Linked DNA regions of Danio rerio. The protein of the gene in region 2 binds, or shares a complex with, the protein of the main gene of each other region. Links are inferred from orthologs where the notes say so. Each region holds a gene or a part of one and is shown on either strand. Other genes may lie near its edges. The genes, in order: pigp, pigc and pigh.

Evidence for each region.
Region 1: pigc (region 2) and pigp share a complex: the UniProt entries of both Homo sapiens proteins name them as parts of the glycosylphosphatidylinositol-N-acetylglucosaminyltransferase (GPI-GnT) complex. The link is inferred for Danio rerio from reciprocal best matches to the Homo sapiens genes PIGC and PIGP.
Region 3: pigc (region 2) and pigh share a complex: the UniProt entries of both Homo sapiens proteins name them as parts of the glycosylphosphatidylinositol-N-acetylglucosaminyltransferase (GPI-GnT) complex. The link is inferred for Danio rerio from reciprocal best matches to the Homo sapiens genes PIGC and PIGH.

What each region holds. Positions count from the first base shown.
Region 1 is NC_133185.1:415,807-421,881, reverse strand, and holds the start of pigp (phosphatidylinositol N-acetylglucosaminyltransferase subunit P), read right to left. Parts: upstream 3,991-6,075; 5' UTR 3,949-3,990; intron 3,844-3,948; 5' UTR 3,829-3,843; coding exon 3,741-3,828; intron 1,033-3,740; coding exon 960-1,032; intron 869-959; coding exon 750-868; intron 19-749; coding exon 1-18. Other genes in the region: E3 ubiquitin-protein ligase TTC3, read left to right, coding at 5,917-5,982. UniProt on the Homo sapiens protein: Part of the glycosylphosphatidylinositol-N-acetylglucosaminyltransferase (GPI-GnT) complex that catalyzes the transfer of N-acetylglucosamine from UDP-N-acetylglucosamine to phosphatidylinositol and participates in the first step of GPI biosynthesis.
Region 2 is NC_133195.1:16,064,246-16,070,657, reverse strand, and holds the start of pigc (phosphatidylinositol N-acetylglucosaminyltransferase subunit C), read right to left. Parts: upstream 4,186-6,412; 5' UTR 4,168-4,185; intron 1,154-4,167; 5' UTR 1,151-1,153; coding exon 269-1,150; 3' UTR 1-268. UniProt on the Homo sapiens protein: Part of the glycosylphosphatidylinositol-N-acetylglucosaminyltransferase (GPI-GnT) complex that catalyzes the transfer of N-acetylglucosamine from UDP-N-acetylglucosamine to phosphatidylinositol and participates in the first step of GPI biosynthesis.
Region 3 is NC_133195.1:31,130,067-31,136,207, reverse strand, and holds pigh (phosphatidylinositol N-acetylglucosaminyltransferase subunit H), read left to right. Parts: upstream 1-1,884; 5' UTR 1,885-2,002; coding exon 2,003-2,179; intron 2,180-3,662; coding exon 3,663-3,872; intron 3,873-3,949; coding exon 3,950-4,033; intron 4,034-4,129; coding exon 4,130-4,204; 3' UTR 4,205-4,211; intron 4,212-4,308; 3' UTR 4,309-4,723; downstream 4,724-6,141. UniProt on the Homo sapiens protein: Part of the glycosylphosphatidylinositol-N-acetylglucosaminyltransferase (GPI-GnT) complex that catalyzes the transfer of N-acetylglucosamine from UDP-N-acetylglucosamine to phosphatidylinositol and participates in the first step of GPI biosynthesis.

The DNA.
Region 1 (6,075 bases), on a different chromosome or scaffold from region 2:
GACTCCTGCCATACGCATCTGGAGCAGCACACAAACCAGCGTTACGTGTGTGTGTGTGTGTGTGTGTGTGTGTGTGTGTGTGTGTGTGTGTGTGATTTAACACTGTCTAATGAGAACAGAATCATTCATCCAGTCATGAGAGTTCAGTTCTGGTGAATTAGACTGACAGAAGAGACTTCAGATTCGCTGACAGCACATTAGGAAAGTGTCTGTGACGGTTCAAGAGACTTTAGTGAAGATCAAGTGTCCAGATGTGGAGGAGTAATGTCAGAATCTGCTAATCTGCCATTCATCATAGGGGTTGAGACTGTTAACTCATTAAAGGAGACTTATTCTGCCCCTTTCTACAAGCTGTAAATGCGTCTCTGCTGTGTCTCTCTCTTGTGTGTGTGTGTGTGTGTGTGTGTGTGTGTGTGTGTGTGTGTGTTTGAGCTGAGAACAGTACACAGTTGATGTCCTCCAGCTCTCTGAAACTGACTCTTTCAGGCTGTGATCCTCATTGTGGTGTTTTGGTGACTGTCGCTTTAAATGCAAATGAGGTTGAGCTCTTTTTAGAAGAGGGCGGAGCTACAGACGGCTATGCGTCAGTGTGTGTGTTGTGTATGCATCAGTGTGAGTGTGTCTGCAGTCTGTGGCTCCTGTCTCTGTTCATCTAGAACTGCACATCTATAATGCTCTGAGTCTCCGCTGACATGATCTTCAGCAGCTCAAACACTAATGGCTCATGTGGTGTTAGTCTGAATTCTCACCTGTGATGTTGTCCACTGAGGCCAGCGGAGCCGTGTTCATCATATTCACTCCGAACAGTAGCACGAAACAGGTGCTCAGGGCCACCAGCAGGTATATGGGGCCCGCCAGAGCCCAGTATCTGACGACAGACAGACGGAGAGAGAGAAAGAGTGATTGATCAGACATTAAACATCAGCATCTGAAGAGCAGACGACAGACAGACCACTCACTTCTGCGGCCAGTAGGTCAGTCCGGCTGCATGGAGCCAAGAGTCAGGAACAAACGCCCAGACCACATACAGCACTGATGGAGAACACAAACACACACACAAACAAACACACACAACACCACAGATGAAGAACACACCAGCAGCTGCAATGTCTTCAAGATAGAGGTGTTTGTCAAGCAGAAGTACTGTTTTCTGTCATGCTGCATGTTTATTCAGATATCAATTATGAGTCCAGAACAAATAAATAATGCTCAAGTCATTTATAGTGAACACTGTAGTGTTTCAGCGACTGAGTCAAGTCCTGAAATTGATCTGCTGTGGTGATTCTACAGTCGCTATGGTAACATGACAATTATAATAATTGATCTGCTGTGGTGATTTTACAGTTGCTATGGTAACACATCTACAGTAATTGATCTGTTGTGGTTCTGCAGTTGCTATGGTAACAAAACTACAGCAATTGATCAGTTGTGGTGATTCTACAGTTGCTATGGTAACAAATCTACAGTAATTGATCAGTTGTGGTGATTCCACGGTTGCTATGGTAACAAAACTACAGTAATTGATCAGTTGTGGTGATTCTACGGTTGCTATGGTAACAAAACTACAGTAATTGATCAGTTGTGGTGATTCTACGGTTGCTATGGTACCACAACAGCTACAGTAATCTATGAGTCAGAACTGTATTCTTCTACAACTTTAGAGCACAATACACCACACTTTACCTGAGTAAACTGAAGTGTACTACAGTACTTCTTACTACAGTCAGCATTCAGCATCATAGCTAAACATACAGACAGTATAATGCCCTGTACTCTAGTGTGTGTGTGTGTGTGTGTGTGTGTGTGTGTGTGTGTGAGACACTGCTGTCAGTCTGTAGATTCTGTTGATGTTTCTGCCACAGGATTAAAGCCTCTCTTCATCTGTAAAGGACAATAGCCGCGTTTCCACTATCGCGCCTAAAGCGAGCGAGCCAGGGCGAGCCAAGGCCAGTGGGGTTTCCACTGTCACTTCCGGGGCCTAATCGGGCCAAAGCGGGGCTTTCTTGGGGCCAGCGGCCGGCCTTTTTCGGCCCGCCGAATACCTTGGGCCAAGGAGGGCCAGCTGGGGCTTCGGGGCGGAGTGAAAGAAGAGGCGGACAGTTTTCTGATCGCACATGAGTACATGCGCCAAACAAATAAAGAAATAAGGGAAAGAAAACATCTAGCCTTATAGTCTGGGGTCTTTTTGCGTATGATCACCCTTATGTTTCCCTTTTAAATGTAAGGCTCCTGCATAAAATAATAAAGTTGTTTTAATTTATAGTGACGTTCTTTGCTGCGTCCTCCTTTATGTTTCAACGCATAATAATCTTTACACCATATTAAAAACACAGCAGACAGTAAAAGTTTTCGAGAGTTTTTGTCAAGTTTAAAATGTTTGTTTGTTTGTGCACGTTTAGATGCCTGTATGTGTGTGTGAGACCGGGCAAAAGCGCTCCTTCACAGCTCTGTTATGCCGCGAGCGGCTTTTTTCTTTATTTATTTTGGAGATAATACACATATAAATACAACAGAAAGACATAAACTTAACAAAATACGTGCCCACTTTCGTAGACTTTAAACAATATATTGTCATATCTTGATAAAATAGCCTAAGGTATATTGAAATATAATTTAAAGAATTACAAATATCGGATATATAATCACATTAAATAAATTAACCAATATAAAATAAACAAAAGCTAACTATAACAATGTAGGTAGCCTATATACAATACATAAATCAAACCGTTTTAAAGCCACATATAGCCTAACTTTCATTTTGCAAAGACCTGTCTGAAAAAAAAAAAGATTTTCGATATTTTTTAAAAACAATAAACACCGGAGAAGGTTTGAAATATTTATATAAAGTAAATATTTATATAAGTAAATATTTATAAAGTATTTGGATACGATGATATTAATCAAATCGCGCAAACAGAGCATTATTTGAGTGAGTGAAAGCAGAATCTCCTATACCTTTTTTTCTGTCACTCAGTCCTGCGCAGCACTCGCTGCTTTAAACGCATATGGGGGAAGTCCAAACACAAAATGTGTTCTATATCCTCAAACAACTGTTTATGTTTTTATTTGACGTGGTTAAATTTATAAATGAAACTTTAAATGAGGAGTTTTAGTGAATAGCTGCCGAGCGCAACAAATATGGCTATATTTTATTAGGCTACTCGCTCTTGTGCTGAAAACTTAACACGACTTCTATCAACAAGAGGATGTTAAAAAATACATGACATATTGAGTTATAAAGGAGAATTTCTGTGGCTTTATATTATGGATGTGTGCGCTCTCTGTGTTGGGTCCCTGCGTTAGTGGCGAGAGCACTCCATGCACAATGCAGTCGGTCGGCGAGTAAACAAATGTAATGAATGGAAATACACAGGTCTGTGCGTATAGACATGTCATGTACTGCTGTACAGTAACGTGTCGTTTGTTTGTTTCGGTTGTCTTCATTTTAATGGTTTCGTTTCGTGATGATTTATGGTGTGCTTTATCTGCCTGATTCTCGCTGAAGTGGGCGGGTTGTGTGACGTTTGATTCGGGGACGTTCTGTGGGCGGTGTTTGCGTGACGCGCTGTGAGCTTTAGCCCGACAGTGGAAACGCGACATGATTTCAGCCTCATTTCTCAACCTCCCGGGCTGTTGGCCCGCCCCGGCCCGATTAAAGCCCTGGCTCGCACTGGCCCGATAGTGGAAATGCGGCTAATGTGTGTGCAATATCAGTACAGATCGAGTTAGAGACGTACAGAAGCCCAGCTGAGCGCCCAGGAACAGCACAAAGCCGTAGATGGCTCTTTCCGGCAGAGGAGAAGGAGAGTTCTCCACCATCACCATCTCCAGCAGCGACACCTGCGCGCGCACACACACACACACATCAATGCTCCAAACTAACACATCACACACGCTTTAGTTTCGATAAATACTATAACATATAAAACGAAAAACAGAACATACATGTCTTATTTCCTGATGGTGCTTCCTTGTGTTTCTGCGCAGGCGCACTGCGTCCTGCCGCCCCCGCGCGGCCTGGAGACAAACAAACGCGCGCGCACCTATTATTTGGTTTAATGCTCTGATTTTTATTTTCCATATAAATATTGTTTGTAAAAAATAATGTTGATTTTGAAGACGCTCTCTCTCCTTCATTCACTAATATCTGCGTGTATTAGCTCGGTCTGATATTCTGTGTGTTTATGACAGATTAAGAGCATGTACTTTACCGTACATGTTAAATATTTGTTGTGTTCAGCAGTTAAAATGAAGCGTATAAGTGTTCAAGTAAAACAACTAAAGAAGGCAGTAAATGACAACAGAATTAAAATGACTGGGTGAGCTGTGCCTTTAAGACAAACGTTGGTGTCCGCGGCCGAACAGCAGAGGGCGCGCTGACGTCACTCCGTCTAGAAGGGATACAGCTGCGGATTCTCACATTAGTATAGCACAATCTATACGACACTACAACAATATTGATTATTGTACATTACTGTGAGGGTAGAAGATAATTAAATACAGTTTAATGGGTAATTTAATAAATAATATGAATAATACTCTGTATAATTACTGTTTTTACATTACTGTGAGGGTTGTAGTAATACAATACAGTTTAATGAGCATTTTAATAAATAATATGAGTGATATTCGGTATAATTTCTGTTAATCCATTGCTGTGAGGTTTGGGGTTGGGGTAGGTAGACGTCAATACAATGTGCAATTAACTCAAATACAATTAATGGCTAATTTAAAATAAAGTAAAAACAAGTTGTTACTTCGGACAACACCTGTATCCCTTCTAGTGGTGAACAGCAGAGGGCGCGCTGATGCCACTCGCGCGGGCGAACAGCAGAGGGCGCGCTTCTTACTCCGCGTCAGTTTCGCGCTGCAGTTGATGCGTGAGGTTAAACATCAGGAAACAGTGGAGCTGCTCTTCTGAATCAGGTCAGTTTATAAACATTTCTCCCCGAATATTCACGACTGATGGACGGTTAGCTGCGGCAGCGCGTGTTCTTACTTCCGCGACGCCCCGCGTGTCATCAACACAGGTAAAGCGTCTGCCAGCCCAGAATGCGTCGCGTTCAACTTCCTGGTAAAGTTTGCGCCTTTCAGTGCGATAATTACAGATGTGCGAGCTGATCTTTAGAGGAGAAGAGATTAAACGCTCAATAATGGCGGAGAAATGACGAGTTTGGCGCCTTTTAGAGGCAGAAAAACACGAGCTGAAGGAGAAAAGCTGAACTCCTGAGGCGAAGCTGCGGATAAAGCGAGCAGGAGAGTTTACCTCAGCTTTACCACGGCACAGCTCGGGTTTGAGGAGAGGTTTGGCCAGGTTTGTGTCAGTTTAGACAGTAAACAGCTCGTGGTTTTGCAATGGAAGCCTCTGGGTCAGGTGTGTCTCCCCGAGGTGCATCATGGGAAGCGAGGCTGCTCTGATGTTTGCTGTAAAACTGTGCAGTTGGTGTTTACTAGGTTTATATAATGTTAGACACATCCACTCATTCCTGAACTCTTGTGACAATCTGTGACCCTCTCCATATGTTGTTCACCGCGCTACTGTGAATATTGGGTGTGGAACTGAACATTAGCACTGTTTAATTGACTGAACTGTTGTACTTCAGGCTCAGCCCTGCTCCTGGAGATCCACCTACCTACAGCATTCAGCTCCAACCCATATTAAACACACCTGCCTGTAGTTATGCAGTGCTGCTCAGGTGAGTTTGATCAGGGCTGGAGCTGAAGTGTGCAGGAAGGCAGATGTCCAGGAGCAGGGTTGAGCACCTCTGATGTACTTCGACAGTCATTTGGCTGACAATGTGATTTCTCTATGTCGTATGGGCTGAGAATGCTCTCTGCGAATGTAAAAACACCTTTACCCCCATCGAGATGCAAATCTTTTGCTGATTTTCCTGATTTTGTGTGTGAAGCAGAATGTCAGACAGTGACGACTCAGATCTGGAGGAAGGACCCAATGTTCAGAGGCACAAAACCAAGATTGTGAGTATATTTCAGTCATTTATTGCTTTCACAGCAGTGGCGAGGACAGAAGCGTTACAGTGAGTGGACAACAGTGCTCAAACTGAGTGTGTA
Region 2 (6,412 bases):
GTGCTTAAAAGGTTACAGTTTACCCAAAAATAAAACTTCTGTCATCATTTACTCTCCCTCATGTTGTTCCCAACCTGTATGAGTTTCTTCAGTGTAATACATTAGTAGATAATTAAAAAATATAGTCTTCAACATTTCTCAAAATATCTTCTCTTAAGTTCCACATTAAGAAAAAAAAGTCTCATACAACGAATAAATGTTGAATTAATATTCACTTTTAGCGATCCGTCCTTTTAAGAAAAGACTCTCAAAGTCTTGAAGCCCTGTTTTAATTGAGGAAGCGGGACAGATCCTCTCTGATCTCAGCCTCATCCCAGGGGCCGTGAATGTTGTCCTTGTGCCTCTGCAGATGAACCAGCAGCAGTGGACAGAGTAGAGTCAACATTAACAGAGCCACTGAGAGAAGAAGAGCTCCCTCGGGCCAAAGGCTTCCCAAACCCCTGACGCCGGCCAAACACACCAGCAGCGCCGCCCAGGGGAAGCTCCAGTCCGCCTTCTCCCGCACCCGGTGCAGCAGGCAGGGCCAGAGCGCGAACACCAGCAGCGCGCAGGTCAGCATGGTGAAGGTGTGCAGGGCTCCGGGCAGACGGGATGCTAGACACACCGACCCGAACAGAGCTGCATTTAGAGAAAGACTTCCCGGCGGACTGGGCTGAGCATACGGGAAAGACACCAGATGAGCCAGGAGCATAACTGCCGACATGGCGTACACGGTATCAGTGCTGACCGACTCGGTCAGAGTCTTTAAAACTGGTGAAAACCCAAAAGTAAATGCTAGGAAGACAGCAGCGCTCTGCAGGTCCGCAAGACGCGTCCGTTTGCCATCACTGGCTCCTCCCAGGACCTCATAGAGCCCGTATCCAAACAGAGCGCAGCCTAGGCAGACGCATAACACGGCAGACGGCTCCAGCTCACCCTGCTCCATGTAGGACCACAGTGTGAGAAAGAGGGCCACGCAGGACACCTGCTGGGCGATAAGGCCTGTCTCGCGAACCACAGCCCAGTAGCGGTACTGGCGGACGCGGATGTTCCGCCGCAGCTCCTCCAGGAAACGCCGGTCCACATAGTTGTCTGGGAAAGGCTGCCGTTCATAGAGCACTTTCCTCCACGGGACGGCCGAAGGAGCCCCTGGACCGCTGTCTGCTCCCATCGCCTGTCCAAATCAGAGAACACAGTGGCTGAACATTAGCTATGCATGATATTGGGAAAAAATGTGACATTGCTCATTTTTAGTTTTGCTGCCACATTAGGAATTCTCTATTGAACATGACATGTTTTTATCTAGGAATAATGTTTCTAAAGGAGCTGTTGACATGAGATTGATCCTGATTTTGGTAAAAACTCAAACAATACAAATATTAAAATAGAATAAAATAAAACACATCTGAAAAATAAGTGATGTGTAATAACAATGGAATGACACAAGGAGAAGTGTTGAACTACTGAAATACTTCATATAAAAAGCTTTTTTTGATGATGGCAGCTTAAAGACGCCTCTCATATGGAGAATGAAGTCACATGAATTGCTAAGGTGTGAGTTCTTCAGAGACTTCAACACTGTGTAAAAATCTTAATGGTTATGTGAGTCCCATCTTTCAAATCTGATCTTTAATTTGTATTTTTTATTGGGTTCAAGTCAGGTGATTGGCTGGGCCATTCTACAGCTTGATTTTCTTTCTCTTTTCTTAGCTGTGTTTTGAATCATTGTTTTGCTGAAATTTCCGCTATGGTTTCCTTTTTATCATCCTGCTAATGTAGATGTTGGACTGAAGCAGCTGATATTAATTTACAATGGCGAAGAAAAGGGGGTTGCTGAAGAACTACTGAGAGATTTCAGCTGCTGTCTGGGCTTTTATTGTCATTCTGCACCTCTCTATCTTCATGTGTTTAATATTTTTTCCCTGCTTCATTTTTTTTATTACACATAACTTTATTTGTAAAATAATTAGATTTGTTGTCTTTGCATACTTAGATTTTTTTGATTGTTTTAAACATCTGGGAAATATTTTAAGTCAACAGCGCCTTTAGTAATATGTTTTCTGAAAAGAAAAGGTGATGTGTGGAATACTTATTTCCCCCACTGTTTTGTGACACGAATATAGTTTCACCAGATGAATCGAATACTTCTATTTGGAAAGATTTCATTAATTTAGATCGACTGATTGATCAAGTGTTTTTCTTTTATTTATTATTTTATTGCTTTGATGATGCAATTAACCCTTTGCAGGTAGTTTGATTGACAGGCAATCCAGCCAATAATACTGCTGATATCCTGCGATGATCTTGTATAACTTTCTGCATTGTTGTCAAACAGGCATCATGGTAGAGTAACATTTTACAATACAATGGTGAAAATAATCTCATATGGGACTCCAAATGGTACTCAGGTACACAGAAAATTATTTTCTATGCAGTGAGTTTGCATAAATCATAATGCATTACGAGCATTCATTCATTTTCCTTGGGCTCAAGCTGCAGTCACACTAGAGTTTGTGTGTGCAAAATTCTGTCGTATGGCGATGCGAAAAGGGGCGGGATTAAACAGAATTATTACTATTAAGCATTAAAAAAAGCGAGCGATTGCTCCGTGTTTTCAATTTCTTTTCTTTTTTTCTTCAATTTCAATTTTAGGCCAGTTAAGAAACCAATATTACCGAATATTACCAAAATATTACCAAATATAAGAAACCAATATTAATAACCTAGGTTGTTAATCACAACAATGGAAAATGTTCACAACAATGGTGGGGTGGGCTCTAAAATGACAATACTCAGATTTTAAATTTGGAATAAATGTTATAAGAAAACAATATTTTATATTAATATTTTAAACAATTTGTAAATTCAGTACATCCAGAGAAACTGAGAAATTTTCATTGGTCTTTAAGTACACTTAATTTTTTTTTTATTGTCAACATTTACTCCCCCTTCACTTGTTTAAACCCTGTTTGGGTTTCTTTCTTCTGCTGAGCACAAAAGTAGATGTTTTGAAGAATGCTGGTAATACGTATGGGTTGATAACCGTATTCAAGGTATACCACGGTTTGGAAAAATCAAGGTTTTAAATTTTTTTTTTTTGCTATACCGTTCCAATGGTTTATGTAGGTTTGTTTGTTTTTATGTTTTTAGGACATAAGTATCTCCAGCAGAAGATATCCTAAAATGCCATTTTTAAATTATAAATAAATCAGTGTTTTTGAAGCTAATCAAGAGGGAGGAAGTCAAAGATTGATTTAAATTATTTAGCCTGACATGTTTATTGTTACAAAATATTTTTAAAAGTTTGTCAAAATAAAATATATTGTGTTCAAAGGTAGAAAAAAGTTTGTTGTTTATCCAGACGATTAAAAAGAATTTATTTTAGAGCAGTAATAGCAATACCGTGATATTTTCATCCAAGGTTATCATACATCACAATCTTAAACCAGCCTATCGTCACCTTAGAATAATAAGGTTTTATCTGCATTCTGAATGATTTTAAAATATTGAGCTTCAAAGTTTTTGCATTGCATAGCAAACAGTATGTGTGTAACATTTGTTTTTTAAATAAAAAATCTTAAAATGTAAACAACTTATAAAAAAACATCGCATAATGTAAATAAGTTGTCATTTAGTAAGAATATGTCAATAACTCAGTTTTGACAAAAATGTCAAATAGAACCTTATAAGGTGACGCCATGTCTAGCTGATACCTGGCACCCTTTGACTTCAATAGCAATTGCTTTGCCTTTGTAAGTAGATGGGTCCCAGCATCCATCATTCATCAAAGTATCTTCTTTATGTTCGACAGAAGAAAGAAACTCATAAAGGTTTAAAACCAATTAGAGGGGCCAGTTAGATTTTTGCGTGAACTACACCCTGTTCTCCACATATCATGTATTTGCTTCATAGTTTATATATAAAGAAAAACATTAAACACCACAAAACTTTAAGCAGCATTGTTTATCTTTGTGTAAGTAAAACGTGCATTTAATCAATCTATTATTATCCTAAATGTCAAGCGGTATCTGACTGACAGCTTCTCACGTCAATCTGATTCATACAGAATGAATCAATCATACAGTCATACAGTAAGCCAGCTGGCGACAGTGTATAAATACAGACAAAATATATTATTTCATATCAAACTTATACAGAATAATGTTCAAGATAAATCTAAAATCTTACCGAATGAGCAGGGTTTCCTGTATTTAGCCGCAGCTGTCAAGCCATCATACATCCGGAAGTGACGTACCAAAAAACAAAAACAAAAGCGCAACCGTGGTATTGACTGAAGAGCGCCACCTGACGACTGTTCCTCACAACCGCCGACGAGTGAAAAGTGAGATGCATATACATTTAATATTTATATAGTCTATGGGTAATCCTCTCTTGATTAATTTGTAACAGCATATGACTAAAATTTAAATAAAAAAACAGTGTTTAGTAATTTGAGTTATTGTTACATTTGTTTGACCCTCATTAGTGGATAATCATATTTGGAGTCCGTCTGCACACAAACAATTTATTTTCATTCATTTTAGTTACTAATATTACACTAATACTTCAGTATTAGAGTATTTAAAATAATTTGACTCAAACAATATTGTATAACACAGGGCTTCTTTCATTTGTAGCGGACTCCTCAAATGTGATTGATTTTATTTTATTCTACAATTATTTTTTTTCATTCATGAGGAAAAAGTGTCGTTTTGGATGTGACATGTCTCCATAATGGATGTGACAGATGTACAATTGCCACTTGTGTGACTTTGGTAAATTAAATACAGTAGTTTGAAAAAATTGACAGAGACATTTATTTATTTATTATTGAATTATTTTTAGTTTAGCACTTTAATACTGAGTAAAACAGCTTATTGGCTTTAAAATGAAGGATTTATTTCATACAGTTGTAATAAAAGTCCATCAACGAACGTATAGAAACACCAAGCTAAGATTCATTCATTCAGATGTAAAAAAAAAAAGCATCAAACCTATTCACAATCAACATGTAGTTCTAGATATTGGCCAGAAGGTGGTGATATGAGATCAGAAATTCAACGAGAAAAGATCAGTAACTAAAATAATGTAATATATATATATATCATCCTTTATATTAAGTCAATAATAATAATAATAGTAATAATAATTGTTTCTATATTTTATAATTGTGCAGAGTCAGATCAAGGGCTGCACAGTGGCGTAGTGGGTAGCACGTTCACCTCACAGTAAGAAGGTAGCTGGTTCAAGCCATATGGTCCAATTGGCATTTCTTGCATGTTCTCCCCGTGTTTGCATGGGTTACAGCAGTACAGGTGAATTAGCTAAGCTAAATTGTCCATATGTGTGTGAATGAGTATGTATGGATGTTTCCCAGTGATGGGTTGCAGCTGGAAGGGCATCTGCTGCATAGAACATATCCTGAATAAGTTGGTGGTTCATTCTGCTGTGGTGACCCCAAATTCATAAAGGGACTGAGCTGAAAAGAAAATGAATGAATGAATGAATGAATGAATGAATGAATGAGAGTCAGATCAAGTTAAAGGCTATGAACTAACTTGAGCAACTATGATGAAGCCACTATTACATTGGAAGCACAAAACAGTCTGACCAATAGACAAACAGAAAAGCACAGAGCAGAGCAGAAAGAGCAGCAGATCCTAGAGGACAGACACTCTCAGAGGAAAAGTGTTGTTGTAGAAACACAGAAATAGACCAGAGAGAGAGAGAAATCATTTTTTTTTACCATACTTAAATAAATCAACTTACTTGTAGGCATGGGCCGGTATAAGATTCTGACGGTGTAATAACCTTGGATATAAATAGCACAGTTTTACTGTTTCATGGTATTCTGCTCAATGCTCTAAAATCTGTTCTTTTTAAATGTCTGGGTAAAAAACAAGAACTTTTTTCCCATTTGAACACAATATATTTTCATTTGAGAAACATTTACAATATTTTGGAGCAGTAAACATGACGGGCTGAATAATTCAAGTCAATCATTGACTTTTGCTGTCTTCATTAGTTTCAACAACAGACTTCTTCACAATTAAAAACAGCATCTATGTATGAGAGATGGAGATACTGTTGTCCTAAAAACAAAACAAACAAAAAAAAAATGCAAATAAAAAATCTTACACATACCTTTGTAGAGCTGAGCGATATGGCAAAAATGTCATCTCGAAAATCATTTTCCATATTGAACGATAACAATATATTTTTAAGTTGTTAATGCTTTAAGATTTTAAAAGAGTATCCCAACAAGGACTGAAGTCACAAAAATTAGAGGATCCGATTAAACAGCATAACATATTTTCGGCCAAAAAATTTTCAGTGGCCAAAGATTCGGTCCATCTCTAATATCACACACTTTTAGATTCCCATTGTGGCACTTTTCTGCTGTGTGATTGGCTCCTAGATTATTATAGAGTTA
Region 3 (6,141 bases), about 15 Mb from region 2:
TACAATCAACTACTGACACGCTATATAATACCTCATAGATAATGCATTTAGCGTCCTAAACAATATATCTCACTCGTCTGCTGTGAATTTCATTGGAATTCAAAATGTGATGTCAAATTATGACACTGGCTTAAAATCAAATATTCAATATGAACTATAAATAGATCAGTTGACATCCGTGTAGCACTGGCACTAGGACAGATTGTCGAGCTTTCTAATTGATTTAAAAGTGTTCAAGCGGTCTAAACTGACAATCTACAAGCCATAAGTATCGAAATGTTTGTATTGGCAGACATAAACACTGAGAAAACAGCTACATTCGAGTGTTGTTATCGCCCTGGGCTTTTGTTACTCAAGCTAGCTACGATTAGCATACGTGACTGGGCTGTCTCCTCTAGTTTCAAAGACTAAATACTAGTGGGGTTAGAAAATATGACTTCTGTATCTGAATTAATAATGGTTTAGTATCGTACAGTCCTTAAAGTATGTTCACCCAACAACACACACTGATCAACAGAGCTTTGACCGAACAAAACAAGCTGATTTCGAGCCAGAATCACACCGCAGTTTTCAACAAACGAGCTGCTGAATTCCCTCAAACATCGCACACGACAACGACTCTGTCATAAACACAAAAACAATAAGCCGGTTGATGTGAAGATAACTGTTTTTGCCCACCAGCTTGTAAAATGATTCCCCTCCCCGGTAGATTCGGGTGAATGTTGTTGCCAGGTCAGATCAGCTGATCGGCTTGTTTTCACTGGAGCGGGAGTCAAAGGTTACCGACCGCAGGGGCTGATGGGAAATGCAGTCAGATCTCATACATTTCCTAAAGAATCGATAATGCAATGGGGAGAGGTCATCTGAAAAATATTTCAAAAACAAAATGGTGGTAGAATACAATTTATGGGAATGTACTAGGCAGTTTTTTTATTGTAGGCTACATTTATTTGGTCGATTATTACCTTCACATTGCTGGTGACAAAGACACTAAAATATAAATAAAATAAAATACTTAACATTTTAATTGTTACTCAAGTTAATATAGTCTTACTGCATAATCTAATAACATCAAAACAGTTAGCGTATTTCACATGGCACTCCGGGGGTATCCTGCTGTTCCCAGGCCAGCCGAGAGCCGTCCTGGGTCTTCCCCGAGGCCTCCTCCTGGTGGGACATGCCTGGAACACCTCCCAAGGTAGACGTCCAGGAGGCAGACTTCTCAGCTGACTTCTCTCGATGTGGACAAGCAGCGGCTCTACTCTGAGCTCCTCCCGGGTGTCAGAGCTCCTCACCCTATCCATAAGAGTGCACCCTGCCACCCTTCAAAGGAAACTAATTTTGGCCTCTTGTATATGAGATCTTTTCCTTTCCGTCATGACCCAAATCTCATGACCACTGGTGAGAGTAGGAACGTAGATTGACCGGTAAATCGAGAGCTTTACCTTTCGGCTCAGCTCCTTCTTTACCACAACGGACCGGTACATCGACTGCATTACTGATGACGTTGCATCAATCCACCTGTCAATATCACTTTCCATCCTTCCCTCACTCGTGAACAAAACCCCAAGAAACTTAAACTCCTCTACCTGGGGTAAGAACTTTCCTCCAACCTGGAGGTGCAAATATTACTAATCAAAAATTTTATTATTTACTTGTATTTATTTAAAAAAATATATTTTTGTGAAACATAGCTCAGTAAATAACTTAATGAAAAAGATCATTTAGGCTTTTACAATGTACTTTACAGTGTACTTGTTTTCACTGGAGCGAGAGCTAAATATTTTTGTGCAACTGGTTTTGTGGTCCAGAATGGGAGTTTTCAACCCCAGTCCAGTAGATGGCGAAAACGCACCTGTATGTTATTTTGCCAACGTCACATTATCATAAGAAGAAGATGGTTTTACTGTTGGTGGAAAAATAATAATCTAAGCAAAACTATTTATTCTGAAGTCTTTATTAATGTAATTTTCCGACCGCGAAATAACCAGCAGTGATCGAGATGGCCGACGAAGAGTTCACAGACATAAATGGCAACTGGATTTCTTTAGACTGCCAAACGCACTCTTCTTTCTGCAGAGAGTTTACTGTTACCTCACCCAAACTGTCCTTGCGCAAGGTGATGGTGTACACCTGCTGTGTGTGGTTATTTGCTTATGCTGTGTTCTTCTTCACCCAGGTAAGAACATTTTATCATGCGGACTATGAAGGCCTTGGCGTCTTTTGCTGTTTATTAGACAAAAAATGACTGTTTATTGGACTTTGATTTGACATTGCGCGAAAACGTCTATTATACAGTTGAAAACAAATTTATTAGCCCTCCTTTGAAATTGAACTTTTTTTTACTAAGTTATTTTCCCAAGTTTTCTTTAACGTTTAGAGAAGATTTTATTTAAAAAAAGAATTTAATGATAACATAATTATTTTGTTTTTTGCCATAATGAAATTAAATAATATTTTACAATTTATTTTGCAAAATACTAGTAATATTAATCTAAAAATGCAATTTAAAGGCTTAACTGGGTTATTTAGGGTTAACTAGGTCAAATCATTGGACAACAGTGGTTTGATCTGTAGCCAATATTTAATATTTCTTAAGGGAAAAAAAATACATATTTAAAATGTACGTCCATATAGTGAGGAAACAGAAGTAGTTTACGTTGTCATTTATAGTGCATTTATTACAGCTGCTGAGTGCAGGTTAAAACATTTGATTGTGCATGAGGCTGTATTTGGAGATCAAAATAAGAAAACAATATATAGTTTCTCTGAAAAAAAAAAGCTTCTAAAAAGTGTAAATGAAAAGTATATTTGGAAATACTGTAAATATTTTCCTTGCTCTGTTAAAATATCCATCGGCAATTATTCTAAGAAAAAGGATTTTACAGTAAGGCTGATCATGTGGTCTTCAACTGTATTCAGTGATTTTATCACATGAGCCAAACCATAAAAAATGCTTTCTTTACCCATCACAATATGCAATTTTAAAGAAGATAAAACCAAAATACAGAATATGTTGGTTCAATAAAGTCGTATCCCTCTAAATCCAATACACTCAGTAACCATTTCATTTGGCAGGATTATAGTCGAACAGGAACCCAAATTAATCATGTTTGTGTTTTTAAGGCCTGTGATTGTGTAAGCATGTAAAGCATTCATGCATAATGAAATAATGAAAACTATTTTACATTTGATTACTCAATTTGAGTACCCGAATACTGCTAGAAGGTTGTTGTTTTCATTCATCGCTTTGCTCTACTGTTTTTATCAATACTTTTGATTGATTTATTAAATTTGATGCAGATACACTCCACAAAATCATCATAATCAATGTAAAATTATGTAAATTCTTTCCAAATAGAGCTATTCATTTCATCTGGTGAATTTATTTACAGAATCTCAATGTGTATTGACAAAAAACTAAATACTGCAATATCAGCTTTTTCCCAATATCATACAGCCCTAGTATATATCTCAAAATTCCACTTAGTACTAAGCAAGAAGAACTTATTCAGGAATTTCCAACATGGCTGCGATTGAAAGTTTGATATTATAATAGAATATATGAAATATTTTCGTGAATGTCAAGCAAATGTTCAATATAAATCTAACCTAATTGCTCTTATTGATCTAATATAATTCTCCTTCTGTTTAATATTCAGAACACGGCGGTTCTGTCAAGTGCCATCATCCTCACTTTAGTTGGGATGGTGATTCATATTCACTTTGTGAAGGTGGACCATGAGACCCTTCTCATAATAGGCTCTCTGGGTGTCCAATTGTCCTCGTCTTACGCCTCTGGACGAGAAAGCACGACTTTCATTGAGATGAGCAAGCTGAAAGACATCGTCATAAATGAGGCTGTTTATATGGTAAACACACAGTGACCTTCACGCATGATAGATATCGAGATGTAAAAATAATCAGTGTTTGTGTTTTTGCTCCTCAGCACAACATCATATACTATCTGTGCATTCTCATCAAGGACCCAGCAGATCCTGAGACGGTGACCAGTGTTGTTCCTCTCTTCCAGGTTCAAAACAGCTGTTGTTATTCATTCGCAAAAGCAAGATTATAGGAATTTGTGACATCTCAGTATGTAAATGAACACCTTTGGTTCTTCCTCCAGAGTTCAAAGCCTCGGCTCAATTGTTTGATTCAAGTGTACAAGAGCTGTCAAGAAATTCTAGCACAGAGCAGATGACGCAGAGGTAATGCTTCATGTTTTGCTAGATATTCTGCATGTTTTACATGACTGACATAGTTCTGTGTCTATATATGCTTTATGACTCCATGTTTTTCGATCAGCAGAGGCTTTCTTTGAAGATGAATGAAGATTGGAAAACTCCAGAACGAATCATAAGCACATTGTTGGTAGCTTTTTTGTATTGTCAGTAATACACAATGCATTTTGTTACATGCAGAAGTTTTTAGATAGGCTTCGCATTCAAAAACGTTTGTACATAACAGTATTCTTGCCTCATTTAAAACATTATTTAATGATTAGCCATTTAGTTTTTTAGGATGTGTTCACACTTGTTTTGCATAATTTTGTTAAAAAAAACTGACAACGGAATATTTTCAATATATATTTTAATATGAAGACTTGAATAGATCTATTCAGAAATAATTCATTATTTTAGATTGATTAGGGTGATTATTGTTATTATTATTATTATTATTTTCCATTTTAGGGGAGCACATTTGGATCAAATATAACAAATCACAAGAAAAAATAAGTACAACAGAAAATACAATGGTCTATGGTTCACTGGTGAGACTAACAATACAGAAATAAATATGACACTGAAACAATTACTGTATGGTATAAATATTTAAATACAAGTAATCTTTGTTAAAGCTACAGACATAATTGCTTAAATGCTTTTAACAGGGTGTCCCCGAGGTCTTACAAAGTAATAAAGTGTCTTAAATTTCAAAAAACAAAATTTTAGGCCTTAAGTTTGAAATTCACTGCAATATTGTGCTGCGAGTCTTAAATCATTTTACACAGGTCTTATTTTACTATTTCCATTTAAAGCTACCCTATCGGGCTGACACCCAATCACCAATAATCAGTCTTAATTTTTTGGTTCATATTTAGTTTTTTTTATTGTTATTATTTTTATTATTTAAAAAGATACATGTCACATAAGCTGTTAGACATTTTTACAGCTAATTAAATTCCCTAATCAGGGAAAGAAAACTAAAGCAACGCATCCTTTTACATGATCTTCCATTAATACAAAAACTATTTACAGAAGTAACCGGGCCATTCAAAATTCTTAGTGTTTAGAGCTGTATCAGTCTAAAATTTCACTCATATGCTTTTGAAAGGGTCTTAAAAAGTCTTAAGTTTGACTTGAAGAAACCCTGTTTAAAACCCTTTTTTAGAAATGCCTTAAAAACACCTGGAAATAATAAACAATAAATTTCTTATGATTAAACAATAAAATTCGGGGTGCTGGTCAACCATAATACAGACTCAACATTGTAGATCCTGCGATGAGACAATTGCAAATGTACACATTGCGATATTAATGCTGAAATGATATATTGTGCATCCCAGCAAGTGGATCAACCAGATAAATCTTGGTGCATTCCCAAAAACACAAGATGTGACTATTAAAAGGATTGATTGATGAATTATGTTCATATTCTGAACCCATAGTGAAACGGGACCACGTGTGTAATAAATTTTTTGCTCTGCACCAAAAGAACAGAACAGAGCTCTACAATAAGTGTGAACACACCCTAAGTGCTTTCATTCCCTTTAAAATGCCTCTGGAAAATGACACTCCAACCAATTTTTAGATTTATACACTGAATCATTTAGTGTAGAACTAAATTACGTGTAAGTTTAAAGAACAGGAATAAATAGTAATTGAAAGAAAGCTTAAGTTGTAGCAGAAAACAGAAATAGTTTTTTCTTATAGCATGTAGTCCTGTAATGTTTATTTAGCATCTCAGAGAAATAAGATTATAGTTTACTTTATAGAAATGAGTATTTTTCTGTTTAGTGTCATATATGTTAAATAATAAGTTCTAAGTTATTTCCTTCTGACGTTAAGTGACCACTAGGGGGACATATGTGCCAAATTTTTAAGCAACCTACAAAATCAGTTTGATTAAAATTAATAA